6 linked regions of the Daphnia pulex genome follow. The protein of the gene in region 4 purifies or fractionates together with the protein of the main gene of each other region. This does not show direct contact. Links are inferred from orthologs where the notes say so. Each region holds a gene or a part of one and is shown on either strand. Other genes may lie near its edges.

The links.
Region 1: the proteins of KRR1 small subunit processome component homolog (region 4) and ATP-dependent RNA helicase DDX24-like purify together in Homo sapiens (affinity purification with mass spectrometry; 3 studies listed by BioGRID and IntAct, with this or other methods). This does not show direct contact. The link is inferred for Daphnia pulex from reciprocal best matches to the Homo sapiens genes KRR1 and DDX24.
Region 2: the proteins of KRR1 small subunit processome component homolog (region 4) and nucleolar GTP-binding protein 2-like purify together in Homo sapiens (affinity purification with mass spectrometry; 3 studies listed by BioGRID and IntAct, with this or other methods). This does not show direct contact. The link is inferred for Daphnia pulex from reciprocal best matches to the Homo sapiens genes KRR1 and GNL2.
Region 3: the proteins of KRR1 small subunit processome component homolog (region 4) and protein KRI1 homolog purify together in Homo sapiens (affinity purification with mass spectrometry; 3 studies listed by BioGRID and IntAct, with this or other methods). This does not show direct contact. The link is inferred for Daphnia pulex from reciprocal best matches to the Homo sapiens genes KRR1 and KRI1.
Region 5: the proteins of KRR1 small subunit processome component homolog (region 4) and nucleolar complex protein 4 homolog B-like purify together in Homo sapiens (co-immunoprecipitation; 3 studies listed by BioGRID and IntAct, with this or other methods). This does not show direct contact. The link is inferred for Daphnia pulex from reciprocal best matches to the Homo sapiens genes KRR1 and NOC4L.
Region 6: the proteins of KRR1 small subunit processome component homolog (region 4) and ATP-dependent RNA helicase DDX18-like purify together in Homo sapiens (affinity purification with mass spectrometry; 3 studies listed by BioGRID and IntAct, with this or other methods). This does not show direct contact. The link is inferred for Daphnia pulex from reciprocal best matches to the Homo sapiens genes KRR1 and DDX18.

Annotation. Positions count from the first base shown.
Region 1 is NC_060027.1:4,484,303-4,489,144, forward strand, and holds ATP-dependent RNA helicase DDX24-like, read left to right. Parts: upstream 1-1,594; 5' UTR 1,595-1,738; coding exon 1,739-1,747; intron 1,748-1,809; coding exon 1,810-1,998; intron 1,999-2,067; coding exon 2,068-2,687; intron 2,688-2,749; coding exon 2,750-3,350; intron 3,351-3,414; coding exon 3,415-3,849; 3' UTR 3,850-3,918; downstream 3,919-4,842. Other genes in the region: phosphoserine phosphatase-like, read left to right, coding at 32-126; mitochondrial import receptor subunit TOM22 homolog, read right to left, coding at 552-632, 700-827, 927-1,038, 1,099-1,302; alpha-(1,6)-fucosyltransferase-like, read right to left, coding at 4,178-4,652, 4,733-4,842. UniProt on the Homo sapiens protein: ATP-dependent RNA helicase that plays a role in various aspects of RNA metabolism including pre-mRNA splicing and is thereby involved in different biological processes such as cell cycle regulation or innate immunity.
Region 2 is NC_060028.1:1,711,112-1,716,092, reverse strand, and holds nucleolar GTP-binding protein 2-like, read left to right. Parts: upstream 1-1,542; 5' UTR 1,543-1,693; intron 1,694-1,761; 5' UTR 1,762-1,785; coding exon 1,786-1,862; intron 1,863-1,918; coding exon 1,919-2,132; intron 2,133-2,207; coding exon 2,208-2,609; intron 2,610-2,671; coding exon 2,672-2,773; intron 2,774-2,834; coding exon 2,835-3,203; intron 3,204-3,267; coding exon 3,268-4,212; 3' UTR 4,213-4,392; downstream 4,393-4,981. Other genes in the region: protein trapped in endoderm-1-like, read left to right, coding at 1-165, 237-557. UniProt on the Homo sapiens protein: GTPase that associates with pre-60S ribosomal subunits in the nucleolus and is required for their nuclear export and maturation.
Region 3 is NC_060018.1:4,442,199-4,446,974, forward strand, and holds the start of protein KRI1 homolog, read left to right. Parts: upstream 1-1,659; 5' UTR 1,660-1,770; coding exon 1,771-1,882; intron 1,883-1,945; coding exon 1,946-2,043; intron 2,044-2,105; coding exon 2,106-2,453; intron 2,454-2,513; coding exon 2,514-2,674; intron 2,675-2,734; coding exon 2,735-2,891; intron 2,892-2,958; coding exon 2,959-3,171; intron 3,172-3,227; coding exon 3,228-3,363; intron 3,364-3,426; coding exon 3,427-3,533; intron 3,534-3,606; coding exon 3,607-3,743; intron 3,744-3,812; coding exon 3,813-3,942; intron 3,943-3,999; coding exon 4,000-4,160; intron 4,161-4,230; coding exon 4,231-4,329; intron 4,330-4,406; coding exon 4,407-4,541; intron 4,542-4,607; coding exon 4,608-4,776.
Region 4 is NC_060023.1:9,551,835-9,555,741, forward strand, and holds KRR1 small subunit processome component homolog, read left to right. Parts: upstream 1-1,622; 5' UTR 1,623-1,766; coding exon 1,767-2,270; intron 2,271-2,331; coding exon 2,332-2,853; 3' UTR 2,854-2,901; downstream 2,902-3,907. Other genes in the region: uncharacterized protein LOC124198094, read right to left, coding at 443-804, 879-1,064, 1,134-1,176; polypeptide N-acetylgalactosaminyltransferase 2-like, read right to left, coding at 3,113-3,382, 3,450-3,675, 3,737-3,817, 3,876-3,907. UniProt on the Homo sapiens protein: Part of the small subunit (SSU) processome, first precursor of the small eukaryotic ribosomal subunit.
Region 5 is NC_060027.1:896,664-901,513, reverse strand, and holds nucleolar complex protein 4 homolog B-like, read left to right. Parts: upstream 1-1,859; 5' UTR 1,860-1,888; coding exon 1,889-2,029; intron 2,030-2,100; coding exon 2,101-2,415; intron 2,416-2,480; coding exon 2,481-2,721; intron 2,722-2,779; coding exon 2,780-2,971; intron 2,972-3,032; coding exon 3,033-3,204; intron 3,205-3,263; coding exon 3,264-3,427; intron 3,428-3,492; coding exon 3,493-3,689; intron 3,690-3,755; coding exon 3,756-3,875; 3' UTR 3,876-3,917; downstream 3,918-4,850. Other genes in the region: SEC14-like protein 2, read right to left, coding at 1-1, 609-656.
Region 6 is NC_060023.1:6,843,757-6,848,540, forward strand, and holds ATP-dependent RNA helicase DDX18-like, read right to left. Parts: upstream 2,987-4,784; 5' UTR 2,906-2,986; coding exon 2,821-2,905; intron 2,756-2,820; coding exon 2,693-2,755; intron 2,632-2,692; coding exon 2,506-2,631; intron 2,417-2,505; coding exon 2,289-2,416; intron 2,221-2,288; coding exon 2,088-2,220; intron 2,028-2,087; coding exon 1,952-2,027; intron 1,890-1,951; coding exon 1,651-1,889; intron 1,590-1,650; coding exon 1,449-1,589; intron 1,387-1,448; coding exon 1,226-1,386; intron 1,166-1,225; coding exon 1,013-1,165; intron 957-1,012; coding exon 786-956; intron 714-785; coding exon 536-713; intron 462-535; coding exon 316-461; 3' UTR 262-315; downstream 1-261. Other genes in the region: LYR motif-containing protein 2-like, read right to left, coding at 1-3. UniProt on the Homo sapiens protein: ATP-dependent RNA helicase that plays a role in the regulation of R-loop homeostasis in both endogenous R-loop-prone regions and at sites of DNA damage.

The sequences.
Region 1 (4,842 bases), on a different chromosome or scaffold from region 4:
CTATACCTACAAGTCCTTATTTTGGTAATAGGATATGGAGGCAATGTCGCGCGAGAGGTTGTTAAAGCTAATGCTGCATGGTTTGTTACAGATTTTCAAGATTTGATAAATGTTCTTACAGATTAACATTGTCTACGAAAATTGTCGTCTTCTTTGAACTATTTGTTATTGATCTAATAATGCAGTTACTGATTGCACTGGATGATAACCTAGTAATATACATCGATTACAAATTTCCGTTACCGCTATTTATTCATCTTCGAGTCGTTCGTTCTTTTTCAGGGGCCATCAATGTAAAACAAAAAAATATGTTTTAAGTAAATTGCCATTAGAAATACTAAACTAGACAAACTTCTTTTTACAACTATTAACTGACTGTTAGGCCTACAAAAAAATTAAAAAAATAGGCTAGTATAATGTGTGTGGAAGGGAGAACTAGAAAAACTTTTGTGGCTCTTGAGACAAATAAATTTTTTAAATGTCATTAGTTGTAATTTATCAAGCCAGTTACATAAAAAAAGACTACGGCGAACGAAGAATCTGACGAGATCTTAACGGATAGGTGATGGAACTGGTGCCATTCCTGGATGAGGACTGCCTCCTGACATGGCAGCACCAGGGCCCAACAATATCTTTTAAATTTCAGTAATATCAATATCAATTGGATAAGAGTATAAATTGTGTTTTTCACAAATATACCTGTCGTTGCTGTTGTTTCTGCATTTCTTCCATTTGTGCCCTTTCAACTTCAAATATAATTGGAGCAAAGAGGATTGCAGATGTGCTGAATATAACCCATGAAGCAGAACGAGCAAAGGAATAAAAACCTTAATAAGAAAAAAATGTTAAAAGGCTGTAGTTAACAGACAAACATAATTAACAAATAAACCATGTAGATCAATTTTTTCATTAATTGGTGTACACACCTTTAGCAGATGAAAATGTACCATAAAAGAGTTTAGCAGTTGCAACTTGTAAACATGTTGGAAACATTTCTGTCAGACCAACCAATCTTTCGAGTACTGTTTCATCAAAATCCTGAAATAAAAACATAACAGTGAATGATGATTTTTACATTACAGAACTGTTCTTATTTACATCATCATCTTCGTCGTCTGAGTCTGCTTCGTCTAATGCTTTTGATGACGACAAGGCAACGACAGAGGCATCAGCCGATTCAGAGTTTGGTCGTTCAGGGGCACGTGCCGGACTAGACGCGTTTTCTTTGGGTTCTTCTTCTTCATCGTTGATACTATTAATAATCTCGACACTGAGATCGTCAATTTCTTCTATAGTTGCCATTCTTACAAATTCAACAAATTCTTACACGTTTTTGTATTACACTACTTGATTTTGGCAATGGAAATGTTTCCAGATTACACCGCTGACCAACTGTATCAGTGTATCACGGAAGAGACGACATTATCGTCTGCTAAGTATTAATGACAGAGAAGCCTGAGGCACCGGGCAACCGGCTGTAGCCTGATAATGAGAAAATAATTTTTATGACAACTATCTACAATAAAAAATAAATTATTGTGATTTTTTGTAGATACGTGAGTTTCTAAAAATTAACATATTTACTTTTAAGATAGTATACAGATTTGTATATGATGGCAACGCCACGAAGCTAAAATCGTCTGCACAATTCATGTTGGTTGTGGGTTCGTCAAGCTGACACGTGTTTTTTAAGTCAAATTATTGTTGTCAGTTCAGCACTTGTGCTTTTTATTCCATCATGATGAAGGTAAAACTTGTTATTTAATTTTTCACTGCATTTTTGTGTAAGCATGTTTCTCAATTATATAGGAAGAATCTAAGAGCAATCAAAACAATGATGAAAACAAAAATGAAAACACGGAAGAAAACATAGAAGAAACCAAGGATGAACCATTTGAAATCACACCTGATATGATTATTTGGAAAGCAATGTATCTTCCAGATCCAATAGTCAGAGCTGTCTGGGAGCTTGGATTCCAAACCCCAACAGCAATCCAGGTATGCTAGAGAAAAGATTTTGTTTGTATGATCTACACATGCAATTTCTTGATTGGTCTCATTCTCTAGCTTGCCTGCTTACCAACAGCAATGAAGGGAAGAAAAGACATTGTTGGAGCTGCAGAAACAGGGTCAGGAAAAACCCTTGCTTTTGGGATTCCCATACTGAATGGCATCCTTAAAGATAAAGAATTTGAACTGAAAAAGCTGAAACAGAATGAAGAAGAATCTGAAGATTCTGATGATGCAGATGATTCAGATGAAAATAATGATGATGGCCATACAAGCAACAAAAAGCAGCGAGTTGAAAAAAAAGCAGTTGTTGCTGAAGAAGATTCTGACGACTCTGGAGGACAGATGGAGGATTTTGGAGGTGGAATTGGGAGAGTGAGAGTATTTGATGTAGTTGAGTTAGGGAATCAAAAAACCAAAATAATTAAAGGACAGAAAAAATTACGAGCATTGATAATTACTCCCACTCGAGAACTGGCAGTTCAAATTGAAAAACATTTAAAGGCCGTTGCAAAGTACACAGACATATCCATTTGTCTCGTGATTGGTGGAATGGCAGCGCCTAAACAAGAAAGAATTTTAAGCAAAGGGCCAGACATTGTAATCGGAACTCCTGGTCGACTCTGGGAAATGATTGAAGGCGGAAATTCGCATCTTTCTCAAATTAAAGATATTCGGTTAGTTAATCAACATTTTATTTACTCTTCATTTAATAATTATTTGATGTTGTCGGTTTTAGATACCTTGCACTGGACGAGACCGATAGGCTTTTGGAGAAAGGTCATTTTGCCGAAGTCCGTACTCTGCTTGAACACATTAACAAAGACGAAGAAAAAAAGCGATGGAGACAAAATTTCGTTTTCTCCGCTACACTTACTCTGGCACATGACTTACCTAACCGATTGGGTAATCTCAAATCGAAGAAGAAGAAAGAAGCTATGAAACTTGACAAGTTGCTTAGTTTGGTTGGCGTCAGACCCAAAGCAAAAGTAGTTGATTTAACAACTCAAGTAAGATCGCTGAAACCCGCATCGCTTTCGGAAATGAAGTTGTACTCGGCCACCGTTGAAGACAAGGATTATTATCTCTATTATTTCTTGCGACACAATCCGGGTCGTACTTTAGTGTTTTGCAATTCAATCAACAACGTGCGCCGTCTCACATCTGTATTCACTTTGCTGGAAACTAACCCTCTTCCATTGCACGCGCAAATGCATCAGAAACAAAGACTCAAACATCTTGAGCGTTTTTCAAGTCTAGATAACGCGTTGCTGATAGCCACTGATGTAGCTGCCAGAGGACTTGATATCCCACATGTTCAACATGTAGTCCACTTCCAGGTAAATTTGTATTCCGATATCTTCAAAGGCTAATGTATTTAAAAATCATTTATTCGCCCACTAGGTCCCTCGAACATCTGAAAATTATGTCCATCGTAGCGGTCGTACAGCTCGAGCTTCTCGTGAAGGATTAAGTTTAATCCTGATTGAACCTGAAGAAGCGACAACATATCGTAAACTTTGCTCCACCTTGAAGAAAGACAAGAATGATCTACCCGACTACGACGTTGACATGCGAATTTTTGCCGCCATCAAACAACGAGTAAATTTAGCCAAGGCAATAGAATCATTGGAACATCGAACCAAACGAGAGAGGTCAGACAAGAGCTGGATGAAGCAAATGGCAGAAGAAGCAGATTTAGTAATTAGTGAAAGTGATCAGGATTCCGACAGTGGTAGTGCTGCTCAGAGCCATTCTCAGCTTTTAACAGAGTTGAAGAATAAACGCAAAGAGCTCACGAAACTTCTTGCACGACCATTTAAACGTTCAGTCAAGTAATACTAATGACAGTCGTGTACCAATGCTTTCCAATGTTCGAAATTGACAAAATAAAAAACAATAAGAAAATCTTGTGAATATATATTTAGCAGAAGAGCACCCTGTACAAAGAAAAATGCACTGTGCAATGTGTCAAGTCATAATCCCAAAGTCCTTAAAAGCTGTGTGTAGTGGCCAACCGGTAAGTAACCAGTACGGCACTCAAAACAGTGTATGGAAAGCGCTTGAAACCAAACTCAAGTTACCTTGATGTGACTGTGACTTCAGCACGTTTCAATCTGGTTTACAAAACTCAACGCAAAATGTTATTTACCTAAGCAGTCGTCACTCATGCAGCGACGGCCACCTCACTGTATGGGGGGAAATCAATTATATTGTACTTGTCCACGGCTTTGAAGGAAGGGTAGAGTCCAGATTGCTTGGTCCGCTCATTTGTACCCTTGGAGTAGCCGTCCCAGTGATTACCGGCTATCCCTAAAACATCACCTACTTCTACAGAAATCTCGCCAGGCCTATGGGCTTTGTGCGAGTACATAGCTATTTGTTGATGAGGACCTTGTCCACCGTAGTAGTAAATATCATCCAAAGACTTGAATTTGCTTGATGCATCAGGGTGAAGTGTTTGCATGATCTCGTACGCCAACCGACACACTTGAGACGAGAAAGTGCAAACGAGATGATCGCTGTGTGCAAGCATGTGAATATCGACCAAGATGCCTCGCAAGGACGAATCTGTGTAACGCGTTGCTACAGCCGCTCCTTTGGCTATCGACACATCACCAAGAAATTCATACTCCGGATATCTGTCGGGGGAAAATAAACCAGACAAAAGATCATTTAAGAAAATAAACTTAAAAAAGGGCATTACAAAAAGGGAGCTTACTTTTTCTTTGCTTCTGGAAGAACAGAAGGATCATCGGAAGCCAGGTAGACCCGTCTTACTTTGATTTGTTCTTTAATTTCTAGTTTATCAAAAAAATCTGCTACGTATAA
Region 2 (4,981 bases), on a different chromosome or scaffold from region 4:
GTTCCGGTGATGAAATCGGTGAATAAAAAGCCGGGCAAGAAGAGCACGTCGGAGAAGCACCAGAGACGGGATGACCTGCGACTCACCCGTATGATGCTTATCATCTTTTGCTGCTTCCTCCTCTGCTTCCTGCCGCTCATGGTGGTCAACGTGGCCGACGACGAGGTTCGTGTGAACAAAAATTATCATTGTGATTGGGATGATTTGATTTGATTTTTAATTTCTTAATTCCATAGAAAAAGACAAAAGTGCCAGTCATTCACGTGATGGCCTCCATCCTGGCCTGGGCGTCCAGTGTCATCAACCCGTTCATCTACGCGTTTTCCAACCGGCAGTACCGATCGGCCTACCGCCAGCTCCTCTGCGGATCTTCGCGCTCGGCCCGGCTGACCTCGCAGACTCAAACGTCGCGCTCTTCCGGCCGCACTTTCCTCACCGACATGCTCCATTACACGGCTCACGCCGAAAAGGTCAAAGTCATCCGATCCACCACCAACACGACGACCAACAATGCCAACCACAAAGAAGATGGCGATCAGCAGCTGGCCAGGGCTTGAAATGAACGAATAAAATGCGCAATCTAGACATTTCCGCCATTTTAAAAATTAATTAAATTGGCCAGGGAAAATCACAAAATTTGAACCCAGTGTACATATGCGTTGTTCTCTCTTTCATTTGTTTAGATGTAGAACAGAATGGGAATTTTTTCTTTTTTAAAATATTTCTGCGCGATTTTTTGCTATCGACTTTTGTTTGTTTTTTAAATCCAATGCGGAAATTTTTGAATTTTTTTTTTGTTTGGTGGGAAAAATTGCCGAAATGTCATTGAGATGTCGCATGAAATTATTACCATGTCTTTTATACTACATGTATTCTCCTGGCAGAGAAAGAAGCCGCCGACGGGCGAGAGAACTTCATTTACATTTTTAGCACATCATATCGAAAAGCAGACAACAAAAAGAAAAGAAAAAAAGAAATATGAAAGATAGAAAAATTTTCAAAAAAGACAAGTTTGTGTGTGTGTGTTTTTTTTTAAATATTTCTTGTGTCTTGTACGCACGGTTCCTCGTAAATGATGTTGTATACACATTTCATGTAACTTCACGACTCGGAAATTTTTAAATTTCTTTTATAACTGTGTGTGTTCGTATACAAGTGCATGTATACTATATTGGTTGATTTTTTTTTAAAGAAAGAAGGAGAAAAATATTATCGAACCCGCCTATATAATCCTTATAGGGATGGAGAGGATTCAAAGTGGTTTTTTTTGTGTGTTGGTTGGTCGGTCAATGACACGCAGAGTTAAAAAAAAAAGAAGAGGATGTGATTTGTGTTCCGATAAGTAATAAGCTGTTACCAAAGGGATAGGCTGAGCTAGTCAAACAGGTTTTTTCTTTAGTCATTCTGCCACTGGGCATTTTACGTCGATAGGCGACATGGAATGATAATTTTTTTTTTTTACTATGTGAATTTTTTACCGCTAGATGGCAGCACGTTTTAACTTTGGAATTTGTTCCTAGATGTCAGCTCAAATAGCAGACGTTTTCTTGAGAGACTTTTCACGACAACACGTGTGAAAAGAAGTACGAAAAGTTGTACGCTTTAAAGTTTATGACAAATTTTGTTTTTTTATAAAAGTAGTTTGCATTTGATCTGTTTACGTTACAGATATTGAAGCTACTGATTCTGAGTGGTAGGTCGTATATTTATTTTCAGTATTTTCGTGTTTTGAATAGCAATGTTTTCAAATGTTAAAAACAGGTTTAAGCATCGTACTTCCTCAAAATGGCTAGGACTGTCCGTAAGACCGATCCGGTCAAAAAGGCCGGACGAAAAGATGGATTTAACCGATCCGGACACAGGTTTGTTATTTGTCACTAATATACTAAATGTTTGCTAATAAAATCTTCTGATGCAGTATGAACCCAGATCGAAAAATTTCTGGTCTGAGGGGAGTGAGCAAGGCAAGAGATAAGGCCACAATCAAACGATTGCAGATGTACCGTAACTTTAAGGCCAAGCGTGATGAATCAGGCAAAGTCATCCGCCCAGCACCTTTTCAATCCAAATTTGCATCTGGTACTGTTGCACGTGTGGAACCTAACCGGCGCTGGTTTGGAAATGTCAGAGTGGTATGTGATCGTAATTACTACTTCACCATTTCTTTGATAGTGATCAAATATCTTAATCTACGTGACTATATTTAGGTTGGCCAATCAGCACTCCAGAAATTCCAAGAAGAACTTGGACAGGCCATCAAGGATCCCTATCAAGTAGTAATGCGTCAGACAAAGCTGCCCATCACTCTGCTGAAGGAATCCTCTAAATTCGCAAGAGTTCACTTGCTGGAAACTGAAAGCTTTGAAAACACTTTTGGCCCCAAGAAACAGCGAAAGCGGCCGAGCCTTGCCACCGGTGACTTGGACAGCTACGTATCCTCAGCCCAAAAATTCGGTGACGGTTACGAAATCGAAAAGGACGGAGCTTTGGTTCGTGATCTGCCAGACGATCGCGAACTGACTCGAGAGTGGATCATGAAGGCTGGCCTCAGCAAACGAATCTGGGGAGAATTGTACAAAGTGATTGACTGCTCGGACGTCATTATCCAGGTATTGAATTATACCAAATCATTTATTTGAGTTCAATTGTACTAAATGTTTAATTTGAAAAGGTTTTGGACGCCCGTGATCCTTTGGGAACTCGATGCAAGCAAGTCGAAGCTTATATCCGTAAAGAAAAAAGCCACAAGCAATTGTTTTTCGTGCTCAACAAGGTAAGCAAAGTCATTCCCAAGATAATTTAGACCCCTGGCCTCATTCCATGCTTCTTTCTAGGTGGATTTGGTACCAACTTGGATTACCCAACGTTGGGTCAAGACGCTCAGCTCCGAGTACCCCACCATGGCCTTCCGTTCTTCGATGACCCATCCCTTTGGTAAAGGTTCGTTGATCAATTTGCTGCGCCAGTTCGGCAAGCTTCACAGCGACAAGAAACAAATCAGCGTGGGTTTCATCGGCTACCCGAATGTTGGAAAATCGTCCGTCATCAATACCCTGCGCAGCAAGAAAGTCTGCAAGGTGGCGCCCATCGCCGGTGAGACCAAAGTCTGGCAGTACATCACGCTGATGCGTCGAATCTTCCTCATCGACTGCCCGGGAGTTGTATTTCCCACCGGAGAGACGGACGAGGAAAAAGTGTTGAAGGTAAACCGATCGCAATTTGATTTACCTGATTGCAAATTCTAATACGATTGCTCTATTCTTTCAGGGTGTCGTTCAAGTGGAAAAGCTGAAAACGCCCGAAGACTTTATTCCAGCTGTGCTGGAACGGGTGAAGAAAGAGTATTTGAGCCGCGTCTACAGGTTGAACGACTGGAAAGATGCCACCGACTTTCTCGACCAGATGGCCCGCCGAACGGGCAGGCTGCTAAAGGGTGGAGAACCGGACAACAACGCCGTGGCCCGAATGGTCTTGAACGATTGGCAGCGAGGCAAATTGCCTTTCTTCGTCGCCCCTGTCAATCCGGATGCGGCCAAAGTGGAGGAGAAAACCGAAGGAGATGCCACAGCCGCCGCTGTTGAAGAGTCGGGAGAGGAGACTGAAAAGGACAAGAAGAAATTCGAGCCCAGATTGGCCCAGGATTTCAGTAAAATTCGGGTGGATCTGAAATACGAAGGTGACGACGTCCAGCCTTTGGAGGCCCAGCCGGACTTCATGGACGACCCTTCGGCCGACGAAGCGGAAGACGATGAAGACGCAGAGGAGAATGTGGCCACCGACAAAGCGACGGAAGAGTCGAAATCGGCTGATGTGTCCAAAGGGGAAGACCACGAAGGTCTCGACGACGAGGAAGACGATTACGAGGATGAGATGGACGAAGAAGAAGAGGAAGATAGCGACGTGGATGCGGCGGCCAAGAAGAAACAAGCCAAGACCCTGAAACTCAAAGCGAGAACCATCACCAAGAGCGGGGCCTTTTCCGTGACGCCCACGTCGCGATCGACCAAGAAAGGAGGCGGCGGTGACGAGGACGACCGACCGGAAAACCCGCGCTGGAAGCTGACTTCGAGAGAGAGGAGAAAGATCGATCGCGATCAGAAAAAGAAGAAGATCGGCACTCACTTTTACGAAGTGGTCAACGTCAAAAACAAGTCGAAGAAGAAGGGTTTCTTGGAGATGGCCAAGGCCTTTAGGGGTCACTGTAAGAAGTAGTGTGGGAGTTGCTTTTGTGATTGTCTAATCTTCTTTATGAGCTGATTATAACGATTGATTGATTCTAATTGCCACCACGGGCCGATACACACATTCTCGATTCTTCTCTTTCTCGCCGATTGATTCAGTTATTTTGAACATCTTTTATGTAAGTGGGGTCTGAAATAAAACGATGAAAATAGATGGGTATTTATTCGTAAACTTATTTTTCCAAGTTGAAATTATCGTGTTATGCGTTTCTTTTTTTAAAAACTTGTTTTATTAGCAGGTGTGGTTTAAACGAGGCTTTCTTTGATCAAATTTTAAAAGGAGAAACTATTATACTAAGTTCGTTGGAAGGCTAATTTCCTGAACCAGACCACAAAACAAATAGCATTTTGAGTTTTCTGGATAGATGTTGTATAAGCCTCGATAGCGCAGTAGGCAGCGCGCGAGTCTCATAATCTCGAGGTCGTGAGTTCGAACCTCACTCGGGGCAGTATTTTACGACCATTGTATCGTCAAAGTTGGATTCTGTTTTCATCTCGGGAGATTCTGTTACGTATATGCAACCCATATCTTCTTCTTCTCGAGGCTATTACTCAACATGAATATCCTCTTTGTGTGCTGATGGCTGATGGTATAAGTGAAATGATTTTTTCTTTCTATAAAACAGGAATAAATAACCCACCTACGTCTCATTCTAGACATGTACGTAAGCCTAAATATTGCTGGCTGCCTGATAACACAAAAATGCCTCGATTTTTTTTTTGCAGTATAGATAACATTG
Region 3 (4,776 bases), on a different chromosome or scaffold from region 4:
CTTCCGTTTTCTTCTCTTCCGTTTACATCTTTTACAGAAATACATACTACGTACTATGCTTGTTCTTTCTCCTATTTACACGAAATTTTACTTATCTTCCCAGAAATGATGTACGTAGTATATTCTTACGCCCGGAAGGTAGGCCATCACGCAGATATAGTATAAAGAATGAAAAGAATAAGAGATAAAAGCAGAATCGGGTTAGAGCTTGGCCCTTTTTTCTTATTGACACAACACGGAATAAACCTATACACCGGATATCGATCCTGCACAAGTACGGAAAAAGGGAAGCAGCGTCTTACACGCTAGGCTAGACGCAACTGGCTCTGCAATTTACACTTTCAATTTCATCAGGCAAATAGGGGGCAACTGGGAGACAGAAAGGGGAAAAAAAAACACACACAAGCCTTTACACATAGTAGAGTGGCATGTAAACGAAATATACTATTCTCGCGTGTTCTGACCCTATTGAAATCCTTCGAAATTTCGTTGGCGCTGGGACACACCCTGACTGCGAGGTGAGTCGGAATCCTTATCCCCATATATTCGATGATGATGAATCAGATCCCATTATATTAATTAGTCTATCCCATCTGTCTCTTTCCGCCCTGAAAGAGAAAGATAAAACGTTATGATTCGATTGGCCAATATAATTGTACGACTGGTTGGAGTTGGGTTGCTCCAACAACAGCCACCGACCGTCTAACAAAGTTCTCCGTCAAAAGAACAAAGACCGTCGTATACCTTCCCTTATTGAATCACGCATATGCAAGGATTTACATCCACCGCACACGTCTAAAATAATAGCAGCGGGATCGGATTCTCTCGTTTTCGTCTCTTCTTCAACGTCACAGGGCGGTGCGCGGTTAAGATACGCTTCATCTCGATATCATCCGTCATCACGGAATAAGGATGCGCTGCTCTCTATTCATCAAACACGTCGAGTTATCATTAGTTGGGGTTATATATACGCGTATCGTCGAAAGAAGAACCGTTCATTTTGGCAATTCATCATCTATTCGACTACTTTGGGGGATATGACCTCGCGAAAAACCCAACCTATCACTTTCTTTCAACATACTTGCAAAGAACTTTACCTTTTCTGAAAACGAGATATTTAAAAAAGAAAAATCGCCTTTCATCCTTTACCGAATCTGAAGAATTTGTTCGAGAAACTTAATCAACGAAAGAGTTAATCAATACTTTTCTTCACAGTTTACACAGTGTTCCTTACAAAGATCCCGTAACATGATCCTAAAAACATAATACCTCAAAAAACCAAAAACAAAAAAAAAATCGAAATAAAAAAAAAAAACTGAATAACGAATGGCCTTAAGGGTATTCTAAAATAATTAAAAGACATTCAATTCAATACGTAAACTGTCATTCTCAACCATCTACCGTGTACCAGGTGGACCACCTGTGCAACACACATGCGACGCAAGTAAAGACGTTAAAAATTAAAACTGAGGCAATCATCAATCATTTTTTAAGAACGACCATGACAAGAATCAAAGATTTTTTTCTATTTCTTAAATAGAAATAATTTGATATGGCTTTTTGAAAATGTTCGTACAGAATGTACTACAACTTTCAATTTCAAGTAAAAAATCGATTGCAAAAACTGTTCACTGATCGATTCTTAAAGTTAGCAGACGACGACAGATTATTGTGGTATTTCCTACACGTGGTTGTGAGCATTCGAGTTGCGACTTATTTAGTGGCTAGCAATTAATTTCAAAATAAAACTTCTAAAATTAATAGCTTGACATGGCTACTCTCTTTGATGAGGCAAGCTCGGATGAAGAGGGGAATTTGAAAATCAATTCAAACTACGCCGAAAAATACAACCATTGGCGCGAGAAAGAAGAATATCAAAAATGTCAGTCAACTTCATAAGAGACTTTAATGTTTTAATTTACCTAACCAAATTAAAAATTTGCAGTGAAAGATAAATATGGAGAAAATAGCGCCATGAAAATGTTGGTTACAGGAGATGCAGACAGTTCAAGTACTTCAGAAACTGAAGATGAGGATGGAGAAGTGATTTGTTTTGATTTTCTTTCATCACATAAAATTCAATTTATAATTATTTTATTCAACAGGCCTGGGATTCAGAAGTAGAGAAGCAGTTTTTTCAAACTTTGGCGTCACTGAAGAAGAAAGATCCCAGCATTTATAATGCAGAAAAAAAATTCTTTGACAAAGCTGCTCAATCTGCACTTCCGAAGAAGTCAACAAAAGAAGAAGCTTTCACTCTGAGGGATTATGAAAGAAAAATCATGGTTGAAAAAGGTGGAAAAATGAGTGATGACGAGGATGCTCCTCCACCTCCACGAACTTTCCAACAGGAGCAAGAGGAACTGAAAATAGGCTTCAAGGCTGCCCTACAAGATTCTGATTCGGAGAGTGAGGACCTTCTCACAGTTCGCCCCAAAAGTGAAATCCAAAAGGTAATAGATGTCACCAAACCTATGGTACTAGTTGTAATTAACACCATTTGATCACTAAAGGAAAAAGAAGAAGAAGAATACAAAGAATGGCTGAAAGGTAGAAAAGAAGATATCACCAATGAAGAGACAAAAAAACAACTGGAGCCTCTTAAAGAATATTGGTCAAACCCCAAGTTGGATGAAAACGAAGCATTTTTAAAAGATTTTTTCCTCAACAAAAGGTAAAAAGTACTCAACCATTTTGTTCCAAACAGTATTCTTATAATATTTCAAATTTAAAGGTACAAGTGTTCAGAAGACAAGAACTACATTCCTACGTACGAGGAAGTTGTTCACGAATCAGAGGCCGATCTGAGTGAAGACGAAAAGGCTTTAGAGCAACAGATGGAATTCGAACACAAGTATAATTTCCGATTTGAAGAACCTGACCCCGAGTTTGTGAGTTCTTGCTATCTTTCTTTTTAATTACCAAAATCAAATAATTAATTGTATGTTATTTCAACAGATCAAAAGATATCCCCGAACTATTGCCGATTCAATGAGAAAACCTGACACAAGCCGAAAAGCTAAGAGAGATGAAGTGAAGGATCGCAAAAAACGCGAAAAAGAAGAAAAAAAGGAAGATCTCAAAATGCTAAAAAAGTACAAACTGAAAGAAATCCAAGAGAAGCTTGAACAGCTTAAGAATATCACTGGCAATGCATCACTCCCTTTTCAAGTATGAGGACATTTTACCCAAACAAAATCCATTGTAATTACTATTTCGCATTTTAGGACGACGATCTCGAAGGTGACTTTGATCCTGATCAATACGATAGGAAAATGGGCGAGATTTTTAATCAAGATTATTACCATGTCGACAATGAAAATCAAAAGCCAGAATTTCCTTACGACCCTGAAATCGATGATGGTATTACAACAATTGAGTTGAATAACAATCAGCACGATTTCATCATTTCGTTTTAAATTATAGAAAATTGGGATGACTATAAAGGTCAAGAAGCAGGCCCTTCTACCAGCAATGATCACTATAACGATAACGACTATGACGGGCCACACTGCGAGGATCCAGATTTTAATGTAGATTACATTGGAAGGGATAACTTGAAAAGTCAGCACATTTAATTTTTCTTTTGGCATGGGGAAATTTCAGATGGACTGCGATTATGAGGAGGCTAGAGAAGAATCTAAAAAGGAAATGATCGAGATGACGCGACGTAACAGAGGTCGGAAAAAATCAATTTTCGCCCAAAAGCTGGAAACGAAGAAACCAGTGTTTGATCCTGAACAGTAAGTTTGATCCAAGTCAAATTAATGTCATGCTATCTTTCTTTCTAATAAATATTTCTTTGCTTCTAGGCACCCAAACTATGAAGAATATTTAGAAGAATATTACAAACTGGACTACGAGGATATAATCGGTGACCAACCTGTTCGATTCAAATACAGGACAGTTGTCGAAAATGATTTTGGTTTGGATGTAGAAGAGGTATTCAAAAAAAAACTTGTGCAACATTCAGTTATAACGAATTAATTTACAATTTAGATCCTCGTTGCAAGAGAAAAAGAACTTAATCAGTGGTGTTCTGTGAAAAAAATGTCACAGTACAGAACTGAAAGAGAAGAAATGAATGACTATTATACATACATCACGAAAAAGAAAAACGTTTCTTTAAAGAAACGAGTTCTACCTTCGGTTTTCGCCGAGTAAGTTGAAGTTTCTCGTTTAGTTTTGAACAATTGAAATGATTTCTAAAAACGCATTGCGATTCTTTAGAAATTCAGAGGCATTAATGGTAGCCGATCAAGAAAAAGATCGAAAAAAGCGGAGAAGGAATCAAGGCAAAGACGAAGATCCTGAATCCCAACCCATTCCGTAAGTTAAAATGATTTTAGAATACGTTTTTTGTTGAGCCCTTTTAATAAAAATAATTATAATAATGATTCACACAGATATCCTGAAATTGATCATCAAGAAATCCAAGAGGAAACAGTGCCAAAGAAAAAGAAGAGGAAAAACAAGGGAAAAGATGAACCGTTTACCCAAGTGAATGATTTTTCTCAGATAACTGAACCAAATCATTCCAAGTAAGTACACATTTTCACTTGAAACTGAGAGCTCTTCTTCAATAGCTCTTTTTTCTTTTCACGTAGGAAAACTAATGAAGTCGCACACAAGAGGAGGAAAGACAATACCGACGATGCTGGAAATGTTTCAGTGGCTTCAGAACATGAACAGCCCAAACCAAAGAAGTTAAAAGCTGAAAAACCTCAAGTGGAAAATGAAATTCCTTTAGCTACCGAACTGGTCAAAGGCAACGAG
Region 4 (3,907 bases):
TTGACTGTTCATTTTAATGACGCTGTTATGTTAACAAAGTCAAATGTTGCCTGGCGCCATGCTGTCTCCGATTTAAATCTATTTTCACTCTTCTACCAGTTAAAAAAGTAGTTTCATTTTGCAATCATTTGTAGGGAAATTTTGTGAGATACGCATCCCTTCGTTTAAAAAAAACAAAAAAATATTTTTTTCCATTCACTTTAAGATCCGTTGCTAATGACAATTTAAAGACATGCAGTAATCATGATAATTTGTCAATCTGTTTCACTTCTAAAGCCGCCTGTACACACGACAAGACTAGTGTTGACCATGTTACACTCCTGTGTTTCGCGCGATGCTCCAACGTGAATGCAGATTTGTTTTGCCACTGAATTCCTTTTTGTAATCTTACCATTCGTTATGCATGCGTGTTAAATCAGAGGGTAAATAAAGAGTTTTATTATCACAGTGGACAAAAGGTGGTTGACCTCTTATAAATAACAATTGCTTCAAGAAACTTGCTACGCCAGACTGCATGTGTACGCCAGCCTTTACTGTCTTTCAGTTGGAACGGCTGTGGGTCGCAGTATCGAATTTTGTTTTTCTCATCCGGACCTACAAGAATCACACAGTCGCCTGTGAAGCTATCAAGGTATGCTTCAAAGGCTTTCGAGTCGTTGAAATAACAAAATAGAAGAGCAAATTTAGAATTTAGTTCCGGTAATGTAGTTGGTTCAATGCAGCTGATTCCACTTAAAAATTTGGGTGGGCTGTACCTACTTTCCCACCAACCTTGGTCTATTTCATAGCCTATTACCGGCAAACCTGTACAATATATATGTGGTAATTTTGTTGTTGTATAAGGAAAACATCAAAAGGGAATTGGCGTTCTTTCTCACCTGTTGAAGATTTTATGAGCCATTCAAACAGACCACTGCCACAACCAATACTAGATACACCTTGTACTCCAAGTTCCGATAGATTCTTGTGTAAAAAATTTAAACCATCAGAGTCCGGCTGAAACCAGAGAATTTTTTCGTCAGTAAAACCATTTTCGTACAGTTGAACTATTCCTCGCCAGTCACCTGTACAGTTGTTGGAAAAAGTATTCAAACACACGGGTCTTCAAAAATTAAAAGATTGAAAATACTAACCGTTTTCATGTAGTTCTCTGATGTTACCTGCGGAACCTTCCATGAGCGCCCTGGAACCTTTCAAGCTATATGTTTAAACGTGAAGGAACAAATGAAGGCTGGTATCTCAAATATAAATGCTTGATATCCCGGTCCTGGCGACCCGTTTCTGTCTTTCTATCTATAGTCACTATTTCGGTTGGCAAGAAAGTCCAACAGCTTGGCTGTTGGCTTGAAGACAAGTTTATCCTGTCACATTTTTTCTCACAATCCATTTTTATATCTCATTCATGTCTCATGTGTATCTCATTCTTTACGAATCTAGATTTTACAGGCCTACAGTTTAACTTGGAATTTATTCTGACCTTGAATAGGTTAAAGTTTATTTTTATTTCGTCGATAAACGGTTAAGTTTTTATCGATCCGCGTCCGACGCGAGAAAAATGATAAATAAAAAAATTTGGTTCTTGTATTTAATTTCAAAAAATCAAACCGGCAACGCAGTACAAAATGGCAGACGACATTTCTTGTATCGTCATTGTAAAATTGTGCGCAGTAAGAGAGAGGACACGTGGGATACTGTTCTTGACAGTTACGGGCGTTTCTCAGTTATTTTAAATTTCAGTAGAAAGATCTCGATCAGACAATTCGAAAATGAGTGACCCTATTAACGAAGAAGAAGTAATTCCCGAGGGGGGAATAGTTAACGCATGGAAAATGAAGCTACCTGAGTTCAAACAAGAGCACAATCCTCATGGCCTTTTAGAAGAAAGTTCATTTGCAACACTATTTCCAAAATACAGAGAAGTCTATCTCAGAGAATGTTGGCCTCTTGTTAAGAAAGCCCTTGGCGAATACAATATAAAAGCTGAACTCGATGTAATTGAAGGTAGTATGACTGTGAAGACCAGCAGAAAAACATGGGATCCCTACATCATTTTGAAGGCTCGTGATATGGTAAAGTTACTTGCAAGAAGTGTTCCATATGAACAAGCAGTCAAAATCCTGAATGATGATGTTGCTTGTGATATTATCAAAATCGGAACCCAGACCCAGAATAAAGACCGTTTTGTTAAAAGAAGACAAAGATTGATTGGACCAAATGGATCTACTCTTAAAGCTTTGGAATTACTGACAAATTGCTATATCCTTGTTCAGGTATTAATTTAAAACATTTAAATATTGAAAGAAATTGTGTGATGTTGGATTTTAATTTTAGGGAAATACAGTCTCAGCTGTTGGACCATATCGGGGATTGCAGCAAGTTCGAAGAGTGGTGGAAGACACAATGGAAAACGTTCATCCTATTTATCACATCAAGGCCCTTATGATAAAAAGGGAACTTGCAAGAGATGAAAAGTTAAAGAATGAATCATGGGAGCGCTTCCTACCTACAATTCCACACAAGAACACGAGCAAGAGAAAGCAACCTGCCAAGAAGCGTGCTAAGAAGGAATATACCCCTTTCCCTCCTGCACCACCAGAAAGCAAGGTGGACAAATTGTTGGCTACTGGCGAGTACTTCTTAAAAGAGGATCAGCGTAAACAACGCAAGAAGAACGAAAATCAAGAAAAGCAAGAGCAAGCTGAAGTACGAAGAAAGGAACGTCGAGAAAGTGCGTTTATTCCCCCTCAAGAACCAAGCACATCGTCTGGAGCTAAGGATTCGACCTCTGACATTAACGTGGAAGAGTTGAAAAACAAAATCCGCAAAGGCCAAGCAAAACGTAAACATGTGTAAAATCCAAACGAAATTCCCAACTGACTGAAATAAAGACGGTAAATAATGGCACTATAAAATTTATTCATAGTTTTAAGTATGTAAAAAGGTAAATTTTCGTAAGGTCTGGCACAAATTTCAAGCTCCATGAATGAAGACGCTGCTCCATCTGCCTATGACTAGAACGTTGTTAATATTAAGCAGGATCATGTGGCGATGGTTGCATTACAGAAAAACGTTCTTAGATTTCTGATTTGCAAATTGTGAAGGGATTTGATTCTTAACGAGTGAAGACGAACTCTTGGGTATCCAGTCTGGGGTGGCATTCTTGCACTGTGATCTCTTGAGCATTTCGTGCATCAAGACATAAATTGGAGAGGCGATGGACAACGGTAACACCACGCAACTGGCCTATTTCCAATTTGTCCCATAGCTGATCGTTGCTAGAGCTGCAGGGCAGTGTAATCACCTGGGCCCCGACGTAAGCTGGAGTTGGAGGAGCCAGACACCATGACCCATGACGTAATCTACCATTAAGGTAAGTCCATGCCTGTGGATACAGATAATTTAGATGTAGGTCAGCCTTAAACATTCACCTTTCTTTTTTTGACTCGTACCTGATTGCCACCAGTCATATGGCATGCATATAGACCAATGTGGCTTCCGGCACCTCGGCCGTATGTGTCGAAACAGAGCGACTTATATTTTATGGCACCTGAGTTTGTTCCACTTGGGTCACGCACTGTAGGCAAATGTTTCAATAGCTCCGGGTAAACATTTTCGACGTACCACTTAAAGGGTTTACAATTCAAACTATTGCGTAGAGCAAGGCGATCGGTGATGCTGAAAACAAACGTTTTTTTAGAGCGCTGTAAACGCAGTAAAATTTAACAAGTTGATTTACTTTCCAAATGTTACAGTTCTAGCCATCGGTACGGCTGCAAAGTAGTATTTTTTGTAGTCGTCCATCCAAACTTCCGCCGCCCTAAATGCGAAATGTCAGTCCTGCATTAAATTTGCTCATTATTATTTTGTTTTTTTACCTGCGAGTATTTCGGGCAAAGATTGTCCCGGA
Region 5 (4,850 bases), on a different chromosome or scaffold from region 4:
ACTGCCGGGAATTTAATGTAAAAGTCAATAACAGGTAACAGAACCAACAGTCTGCGCAAACTAATCAACAACAGTAAACAAGAGTGACTTGTAACTATATTGCGCAATAATCTGGGCTCTAATTCACTTTGGGGGTTTTCTGAAAGACGAACAGGTGTATCATCATTTTCAAACACGATGGTGAATAAAGAAAAAAAGCTTAAAGTAAACTAACAAGGTAACGACGTAACGGTTTATGATTTTATGGCACGACATAAATCTCCGAAGAAAAGTTGTAAAACTAGAAACAAGTGTAAGTTTTGAGTAGAAAGTGCTTTTAAAATTTGACTAAATTCAACACATGCAAAATAGCTCTCGTAGTAGGGAAATCGAATGAGTTCGTGCGTAATGATTTGAGAGCCTCGGGATAGCGGAGACGGGAAGATTCAGGAAGCGAAATGTAGGTAACTGCCTCTGGGTTCAAAATACTTTTGACCGCATTTTCATTAATATCATCTTATTCAATCAGAAATTCGTAGACAACTAATTCAGAAACCTGTTCTGAAGGTATCGTGCAAATTTCCTAGATGCTAAAATATATGGAAAGAAAAAGTAAAAATGTAACATACCTGTTTTAACACAGTTTTCTGGTCGTCGTTGAGCTGGTCGACATTCATCTCGTGAAAAAGTAGCAACACTGGTGTGGAAGAACTCGTGTATCTAATCTGCCAGGCGTTTCTATTAACACTTCCTGTTTTTTTTTCAGATCTGGAAATGAATAACAGACCTATTGTTTAGTTTGCAAAACTGTTATTTCCTACCAATGTTTTGGACACGAGACTTGTGCAAAATGCAATAACTGAGACGTAAGTTCAACGAACTTGTATGTCACGATCCAAAGATTAACTCGAGAAAATAACAACGTGCGAGACTGTTGGCACTTTACAATGTAGTGTGAAGGCCGAACCTGATATGTTACAATATCAAGGACAATCGTCAGACACGTCGTGAATGAAGACGAACGTACTACGAACTGTTTCTTTTCTACTGAAGAGAGGCTGAAGTAAGAAAACACCTGTATGGCCTGGCCAACAGCAGCCAGCTTGTCCTAATAACAGGTATAGGTGAGCCCGGAGGGCTACGACCAAATTCTTGGGTAAAACTAGTGTTCGTTCACCCCTTAAGAAACTCTAGGGGGGAGCGTGGTAGAGCTGTTGGATAACAATTCTTGTTTGGTACAAATAGGTATTCTGTTATTTTTACTTACATCAAAGGAAACAAAGTGTCTAGACGACCTCATCAGCTTTAAGATTCTTGTTGAGTCATGATGACACTCACAGATGGTGAACCCCCAAACAGGTTGATAAATTAAACACAATCTGTGCGATTTTTCCTTGCGATTACCGTGAAAAGTGGATCACTAGATCACTAGATCAGAGCAAAATCAGAGACTACATCAATGTAAGAATGAAATAATCAAGGTTGCCAGAAACTTGATTGAAAATAATTGACATACAATTTGCGAAATTGGTACGTTGCCACTGGCGTCTAGTTGCTGTCACTGGCACATTTTATCAAATTTTATATTCAGCTTAATTTAAAAAGTATTACGACACACAAATAAATATTGAGGGATGGTCAAGTAGGTCGACAGTTTTTTTATTCAGGTCGATCACGCTCACCGTTAAGATCTAAAAACAAAAAAAAAGGATAAAATAATTTGTAATTTTCAACTTAAAACTTCGTAAAAGGACTTTTCTATAAAGCGAATGTTTAATCAAAAATGCGATTAATTAAAATAATAATGGCAAAAAAAAATGGAAAATCCACTCCCCCTCTAAAATAATTCCGTGCGCGCAAATCTTGCAAAAAGCTGAAAATAGAAGACTGGCAACAGCACATTTTGAAAATGGCGGCCCCGTCAACACGAAAACGTGAGTCCAAACAAAATCAACGAGAAATATTTGATAGCATTAAACTTCAAACTAAAGAAGTCATCCAAAGCCGTAAAAACATCAATAACATCATCGACATCCAATCCAATCTAGAGGTATTTTGTTTTTAAAAATGTCAATAACACGTGATTGAAACAATGCAACATTTCCACGTTGGATCTCTTAGAGTGATGAGAGTGCCGTAGTCAAAGCCAGTATCAAAGCTTTGGATAAAATTTTTTGCCATTTCATTGCAAATGGTTCTCTGTCTGAGCAAGGCCCAGTATTGGAAACAGATGCAGATAAAAAAGTCAGAGAATGGAGCAGAGAGAGATATCAAGAATTTCAAGATCGGCTCTTCAAACTTATTGCTGCAGAGCAAATCAGTCTTCAAGAACTTTCTCTTGTTCATCTCATGCATCTTTTTCAAGCAGAAGGTCAGCATCCCCTTCCCAAATTGCCTGAAGGAAGGGAGCATATGTTTCCTCATGAGTTCCTAGAGGTATGTTTGAGAAAACAATTGTAACAATTAAAAACTTGTTTACATTAATTCTTTTCTAATTACAGAAGCTAATGTTGCACATGCTCAGTCTTGAAAAGGAAGCTACTCCATTACTCACTCGCTTTCAGGAATTCATGGAGTATGAGGACATTTTGTTTCATCTTCTTCGTGTCTTAGCGAAAATACTGAAAGGCAAAAGCAATGTTGATGAAAAATTTCTCAAGAACCTCATTCATATTTTGGAACACATTACATTGCACAATACTCCTCCCAAGGAGGAAGAAAAAACCAAACTTTTTTGTTCCAGTAACATCAGACAAATTTCATTATTTTAATACTGAATGATAAAAATTTTCTTACCTAGATAAAAACCATTTCAAGTGGAATTACGGACGAGCCAAACAGTTCTTCAGTATCATTTGGCAGCAACTGTTAAAACATCCTCTGACTCCCAGTCTGTACAAACGAGTGCTTGTAATTCTGCCGGAAAAAGTTCTTCCGCATTTAGATAAACCTTTGTTACTCACAGATTTTCTAATGGAGTCGTACCGAATTGGTGAGAATGGAAATTTCAGTTAAATGCTTGGTGGTTGACTATACATGTTTCGATTTTATAGGCGGAGCTGTAAGCATTCTTGCTCTTCACGGAGTCTTCCTACTGATGCAAAGCCATAACTTAGAATATCCTGACTTTTACACCAAATTGTACGCCCTCTTAGAACCAGGAGTGCTTTTCGTCAAATATCGCGCGCGATTTTTTTACCTTTTGGATTTGTTTATGACATCAACGTAATATTATTTACTTCCTGTTTGTGTGGTTCGTTTGATTAACATTGATTCAACTTTAGACATATTCCAGAATATATAGCTGCAGCCTTCGCAAAGCGCTTGTCCCGATTGGCGCTGATTGCTCCAGCGAACATCGTAATACTACTTCTACACTTTGTAGGCAACTTGATGATTAGACATCGTGGACTTGTACGATTAATGCATCGTCCAGAAGATCAAAAAGGTATTAATTTTTGTAATTTCACGTATTCCGCTTGGTATTTACGTCGAATTATTTTGAAAACATAGACATAACTGATGACCCATACATAATGAGTGAAACGGATTTGAATGCTTGCAAAGCAACTGAAAGTTCTTTATGGGAAATTAAAACCTTGCAGTCTCACGTATTGCCAGAGATAGCAAATACAGCTAAATTTATTGATCGAGACCTGCCGAAACTTGAATGGGATGTTAACCAAGATTTGGAAACTACTTTGGAAGATGTGAGTGTTCAATAACGATTATTCTAATACCGTTATCTTATGCAAGTATTTTGAATCTTTCTGCAGCTGTTGGAGAAAGAGTTAAAGCGTAAATACCCCACAGACGATATTCCGATCAACTTCGAAAAACCAACCAAGTTTGCCTGTGTGAAACACGAAAAGCTTTCAGCTTATTTTGAATTGTGAAATGTCTCTTTAACATTGGAATAAAAATAATTTCCGTCACAATTTGTCTTTGTCCAATAAATCTACAATTTGGATGGCCTAGTCTGGGTTTTACGTGGTTTTCGTAACACCAATAGATTTTCGATTGACCTATTTATGTTACTCACGAAAACCTTTATTCAGTACGGTCAGAAAGTAGTTGTGCGTGTCAGTTGGGAAAGTAAGTTAAGCTCCAACGGTTCAGATTGGTTTGGGACGCATCACAGTTAAGCTACTTGGAAACCCAAACCGTGAGATAATAATGGTTAGTCCTTAGTGTGAATATGTTAGAGTAGGGTCAGGATGTCATCATCTGGACATTGGAGCGCAAGGAAATGGAATTCGTGTACGAACTAGTAAGTGAACACTGAATGTCGTAAATTCTTAACAATTAAACCACAAAAACTAATAGAAAAAGGGTTGCCCTAGGTGAGGCTCGAACTCACAACCACGGCATAGCATAGAGTACTGTCATATAAGTACCGTGCGCTAACCAATTGCGCCACTAGGGCCTAGATACGAAGAGCAAACTAACGTACAGTACCGTGAAATTCTTTTCCGGACAGATTTACTTTCACTTCAGCATTCCAGTGTTGAACGGCTAAGTGAAAGGTTAGACATAAACAAAGACACTACAGTCAACTTAAGAAAACAGTGGATTAAGATTGTATGCTGCCTAGACTGCCTGTGTGTGGGTGTCTCAAAATCTCCAATATGATACCCGTTTTACTTAAACACTACGTCGTTGGGTATTAAAACAAAACATGTTGTTTAGTAAAACTAAAATAAAATTTTGCATAGAAAAGATCCCATTAAGAAAAATGTGAAAGCAGATTTTGTAGCCGTAGGCACATTTCCTTTCTGTCATTTCACGTCGTCTGCACTCTATGGTTTGTTTGTATCTGTCATCGGTCGAAGTGGTGAGCTCCCGATCGACTGTCCAATGGATTGTCACAC
Region 6 (4,784 bases), about 2.7 Mb from region 4:
CATAGTTATTTGTGGGTAAATTCAGATTACTAAAACCAGTTGAAAGTGTTTTGATTACTGAAGTGATTTATTCTAGGAGTCTATTATCAATATCATCTCACGATCTATTGACAATATTCATTAATGGTTAATTCTACGATACCCTTCAGAAAAATAACTATTTTTATTTCCATCTCAAACAAATGAGCGACGAATTCCGCCCGCCATCTCTTAAGGAAAATTACCATTACAATATTTAGAGAAATAAAGCTTGAACGAAAATATTGGATACGCAAATTTATTGTCTGTGGACAACGTATAAAACAGTCAGAAAAATTATCGAGAAAATTGCCGTTTGTCGCTTGGTTTCTGTCCAACTTGACGATATGTGCTTGCTTTTGTACGGTGCTTAGTTCCTCCATGGGTCTCCCCGAAGTTCCCTTGGCGTTTGCGAGGGCGGTCAGCTTTAGTACTACGCATGTCTACAAAGTAAAATGTATGAGTCAAATTTTGTGAAATCTGAAATGTCAAGGCCAACAGATAAGATTAAACATACTAAGGTCTACTGTCGGTGGAACTTTGAAACCAAAACTTTGGGCCACTCTAGCCAGGTCGAGTGTATGAACGTCGAAGATTGTTTTCAAATGATGAGAATCATAAGCACGAATGTAGGCTTTGTAAGCTTCTTTTGCTGACATATGGAGGAAATAATTCTTGGAAACCAGTTTTTCCAGCTGAATAAATAACAAAAAGTTTGTTAGTGAAATTAATAGAAATAACATAACCGTAAATATTTTTCTCCGAACCTGAGGTTGAATATCAGCAATTTTGCTCCAGGAAAACTCAAATTCGTTAAGTGGAACTTTGGCTTGCTTCAAATACCGTAAGAAACCTAATTCTTCTGGCCTCAAAAGAAGCAAGGCGTGGCCCTTGCCGCCTTGGCCGCGAGCAGTACGCCCGACACGATGAATGTATTCCTAAAACGAATTGCTATAGTGACAATTTTTCAAGTATTTCTATTAGATTGAGTTACCTTAGGATCATCTGGAGGATCATACTGGACGATCCAATCGACCGCTGGGATATCCAATCCTCTTGCTGCCACGTCCGTACAGAGAAGGATTCCAGAATCCGCATTACAAAATTGGAAAAATGTTGTCGTTCGCTTAGTTTGCTTTTGTTTACCCTATTTCATAAATAAAAAAGATTAGTACGAAACGAGATGTAAAACCCAACTGAATCTTACGTGAATGCACATGACAGGCATATCGATGTAGTTTAGCAATTCATGGTGAAATTTGACGGACAAGCACGAACTAAAGAAGACCATGATTTTCTTCTTGCGATTACGTTTAAGAAAAGAAAAGAGCATGAGAAAACGCTTTTCGGCAGGGCACACGACATAACCTTAAGAATACCAAAGATTTAAACGCTGAATTTAATGACGAAAATGCTAATATAGAAATAACCTTGTTCCAGTCCCTCAACCGTGGCTTTCTCAACGACATCCTCTACTCCAACAATAATTGGCTCCTTCTTGAGGGCCAAGCGAGCAAGATCCTCAATTTTCTGAGTTGATGTAGCGGAAAACAGCATTGTCTGTCGTTTTTCTGGCAAAAGTCGTAGCGTGAATAATTGATTAAAACAATGGCAATTAAAGCTTAGACTTACTAGGTAAAATACGAATGAGCTGTTTTAATTCTTCTTCAAATCCGATATCCAATACACGATCTGCTTCATCGATAATGAGACATTGGAGATTTTTAAATAGAAAATCAGTCGTGCTATTCAAGTGATCGAGCAATCTTCCAGGAGTTGCCACTAAAATATTAACACCCTTTACAAGCTTTGCAGCTTCAGCTTGACGATTTGCACCTCCCATAACCAGACCATATGTATGGGAATGGTGTCTAGATGAAGACAAAAGATATTGTAAAACCCCAATTTATGTTTCAAAAATGCATGAACTCACCTTAACAGTTCACGTAAAACTCCAAAAGTTTGCATGGACAACTCTCTTGTGGGAGAAATAATAATAACTCCAGTACCTTTCATAGCAAACAAGTGGTTAAATACAGTTATTATTGAATAGAATACAAAATAAATACCATTTCGCGGCATAAACTTCAATTTATATATCAGCTCAATCGCGGGTATCAGAAAAGCCAATGTTTTACCAGAACCAGTTTTGGCTTGTCCTAACAAATCACGTCCCTCCAGTAAATGAGGAATGGATTTTGCCTGAATACATATTCATCATATTTTTTAAATAATTACTATTATTATTAAAAGTTTCCTTTTTATGTTACCTGGATTTCTGTCATTTTTTTGAAGCCCATCTCTTCAACAGCTTTCAAAGTCAAATCTGAGACACTGCCTTCCAACGAAGCAAATGTCTGGTCACTAAGAATTCCAACGTTGATTGATGATCCAGGTACTAAGAAATAAATCATTTGATTTTCAAGATAAATAAGAAAACAAAAATCAAATAACAATATCCTCATTTCACCAACTAGAGTAACTTACATTGTTGTAAATCTTCAGCATCAATATCCTCATCATCTTCATCTACTACTTTCTCATTATCTGAAGTAACCAGTTGTGTTTGCTTCACAGCTTTTTTAGAATTTGTTTTCAGTTTCTTCACTGGCACTAAAAGTATTGAGTAAATTAGTAATCATGATTTCTTTTAAACTGTCAGGTTTAACCTTACGTTCAGTTTCATCAACATTCTCTTCTTTTGTTGCGACTTCATGTTCGTCTTCGTCGGATGCGTCTATTGCAAAAATCAACAAATTAGTAAAAGAAAATATACAACTCAACAAATTAGATTGCTATTACCCTCGTTTTTCTTGTTTAGAACTCTTAGTCGACTCTGTTCTCGTTTCTTGAGTTTGCGTTTTAGTTGAGGATCGGGCATAGACATTTTGAAAGAAGCAAAGAAACACGTGCACAGCTTTCTAGACGTTTATGCAGACGACTCTGCGACAGAATCGATACTCGATAGTGTTCACTGTTCAGCGTTGTTCTGAATCGGATGTTACTTTTTAGATTTTAATTTATAAATGTCATGTTACATTCAAAATAATTTCATTCAAAATTAATTCAAGTAAAATCTTTGATTTAAAAAAATAAACCAATAACTTTGATAAAATACAAATTTTGTAGTTTTTGATTTCCGATATTTTTCTATATCGATACTTAAGAAAAGTGGAAAAAATTGTTATCTGGCAAACGCAATATTTTTGTAATCATGTAATGCCCGCAGTAGAAAATAATAATAATTCAAGATTGTTTCAAGTTCGATTTACAAATCCCGCAAGAGAGACGGTCACGTGACATGTGCTAGGAGAGACCTAATCCTAACGTGGGATTCTTGTGTCACGTTCTTAAGTTTGTTTATTACATGAGACATTTTAACTCATAAGAAACTAATAATAAAATATGTTATATGTTACTCTTCTTAAATAAGAAAATGTACAATAACTTTAAGTAGTTCTTATACACTTCAAATGTTTCTTTGTTCCGGGAATGAAGGCAATCACGCCCACACATTCAGTTAAAAATTAACCGTCCTCCCCCCCCCCCCCAGACTAAAAAATGTGCAATAAAGGTAAAGTGAAGCCAACCATTCAATCCGCTTTCGATCGACATTTTCCTGTGGTATTTTCGGTCGTTAAAAGAGGCGTCGTTCGATCAGTCGTTATATTTTCTATTTTGGACAATTGGTACTACGCTTGGGCTAAATTTATATTTTCCAAATCTGTCCAATCAATCGAGATATTTTAACTTGATGGGTCTTTAAGACTGTACGTCCGTATCCCGTCGTAGACAATCTCTTGGCTGACACCTAAGAAAGAGATTAGGTTCTCCAAGAAAGAGAAGAAAGAAGGCTAAAGCATTACGGGCCATAGAGGAAGCCCTTTGCGTTACATGGTCACTCGGTGTGCATTTAACTATTTATAAGAACACTCAGGCAATCTAAAACTCGTGCCCTGCCAACATGATGGCTCGGGCCATTTTATACTGACGCTGAGCTGATAATACAAGATGTTGAACTTGTGTTCATCAATTATGAACAAACGCCGGACGGTACTATATCATACATAGAGCCTATTAAAAGAAGCTTGTCTTTTCGAGAAGATCAAGACCGCAGACTTTGAATTCCAGCAGCATATAATCATTAGAAAGCTAGCCTTATTCTAATTGAATTTCACAAACAGCAAGGGGATGCAACTCCGGGAACTGTGTGAAAATGTCGACGATCTACTGTGTCCCTCACGTATTGTTATAAGCTCTCACAACAAGAGAATAGTAGCCAGAATAGTAGGTGGATAGCCCGCTAGCGATAGGGAAATACACGTTTTTATATGAGGGTTGATGGCAAATGGATTGGGCAAAGCCGGAAATCGGTAAAACTTCAATGCAGTTCCCAGGCAGTTCCGAGGGAAAAGAAAAACAAAAGAACAGGCGTGGTTTTATAGGGTCCAACGACAAGTTATAAAACCGCGATAGCATAGATCCAGAATCACTATATAGATTGCACCCAGTTGAATGATGAAGATCCAATTGGAACTGATGATAACCGCCTTCTAAATCTATTTAAAAAACAAAACAAAAAAAACGACTTTTAGTTTGCCGATCAAATTTGAATTTCCGAATGAATTCCATTACTGGCAAATGGCAATCGGGAAATAAGCCAAGCAAAAAGTAGTTTAATTGGCTCGGAACTTGGTGGGTGGGTGTGAGTTGTTTTCAAAAAACCCAAAAGAGACTATATGGCGGAAGTCTTTTGTATGCGACAT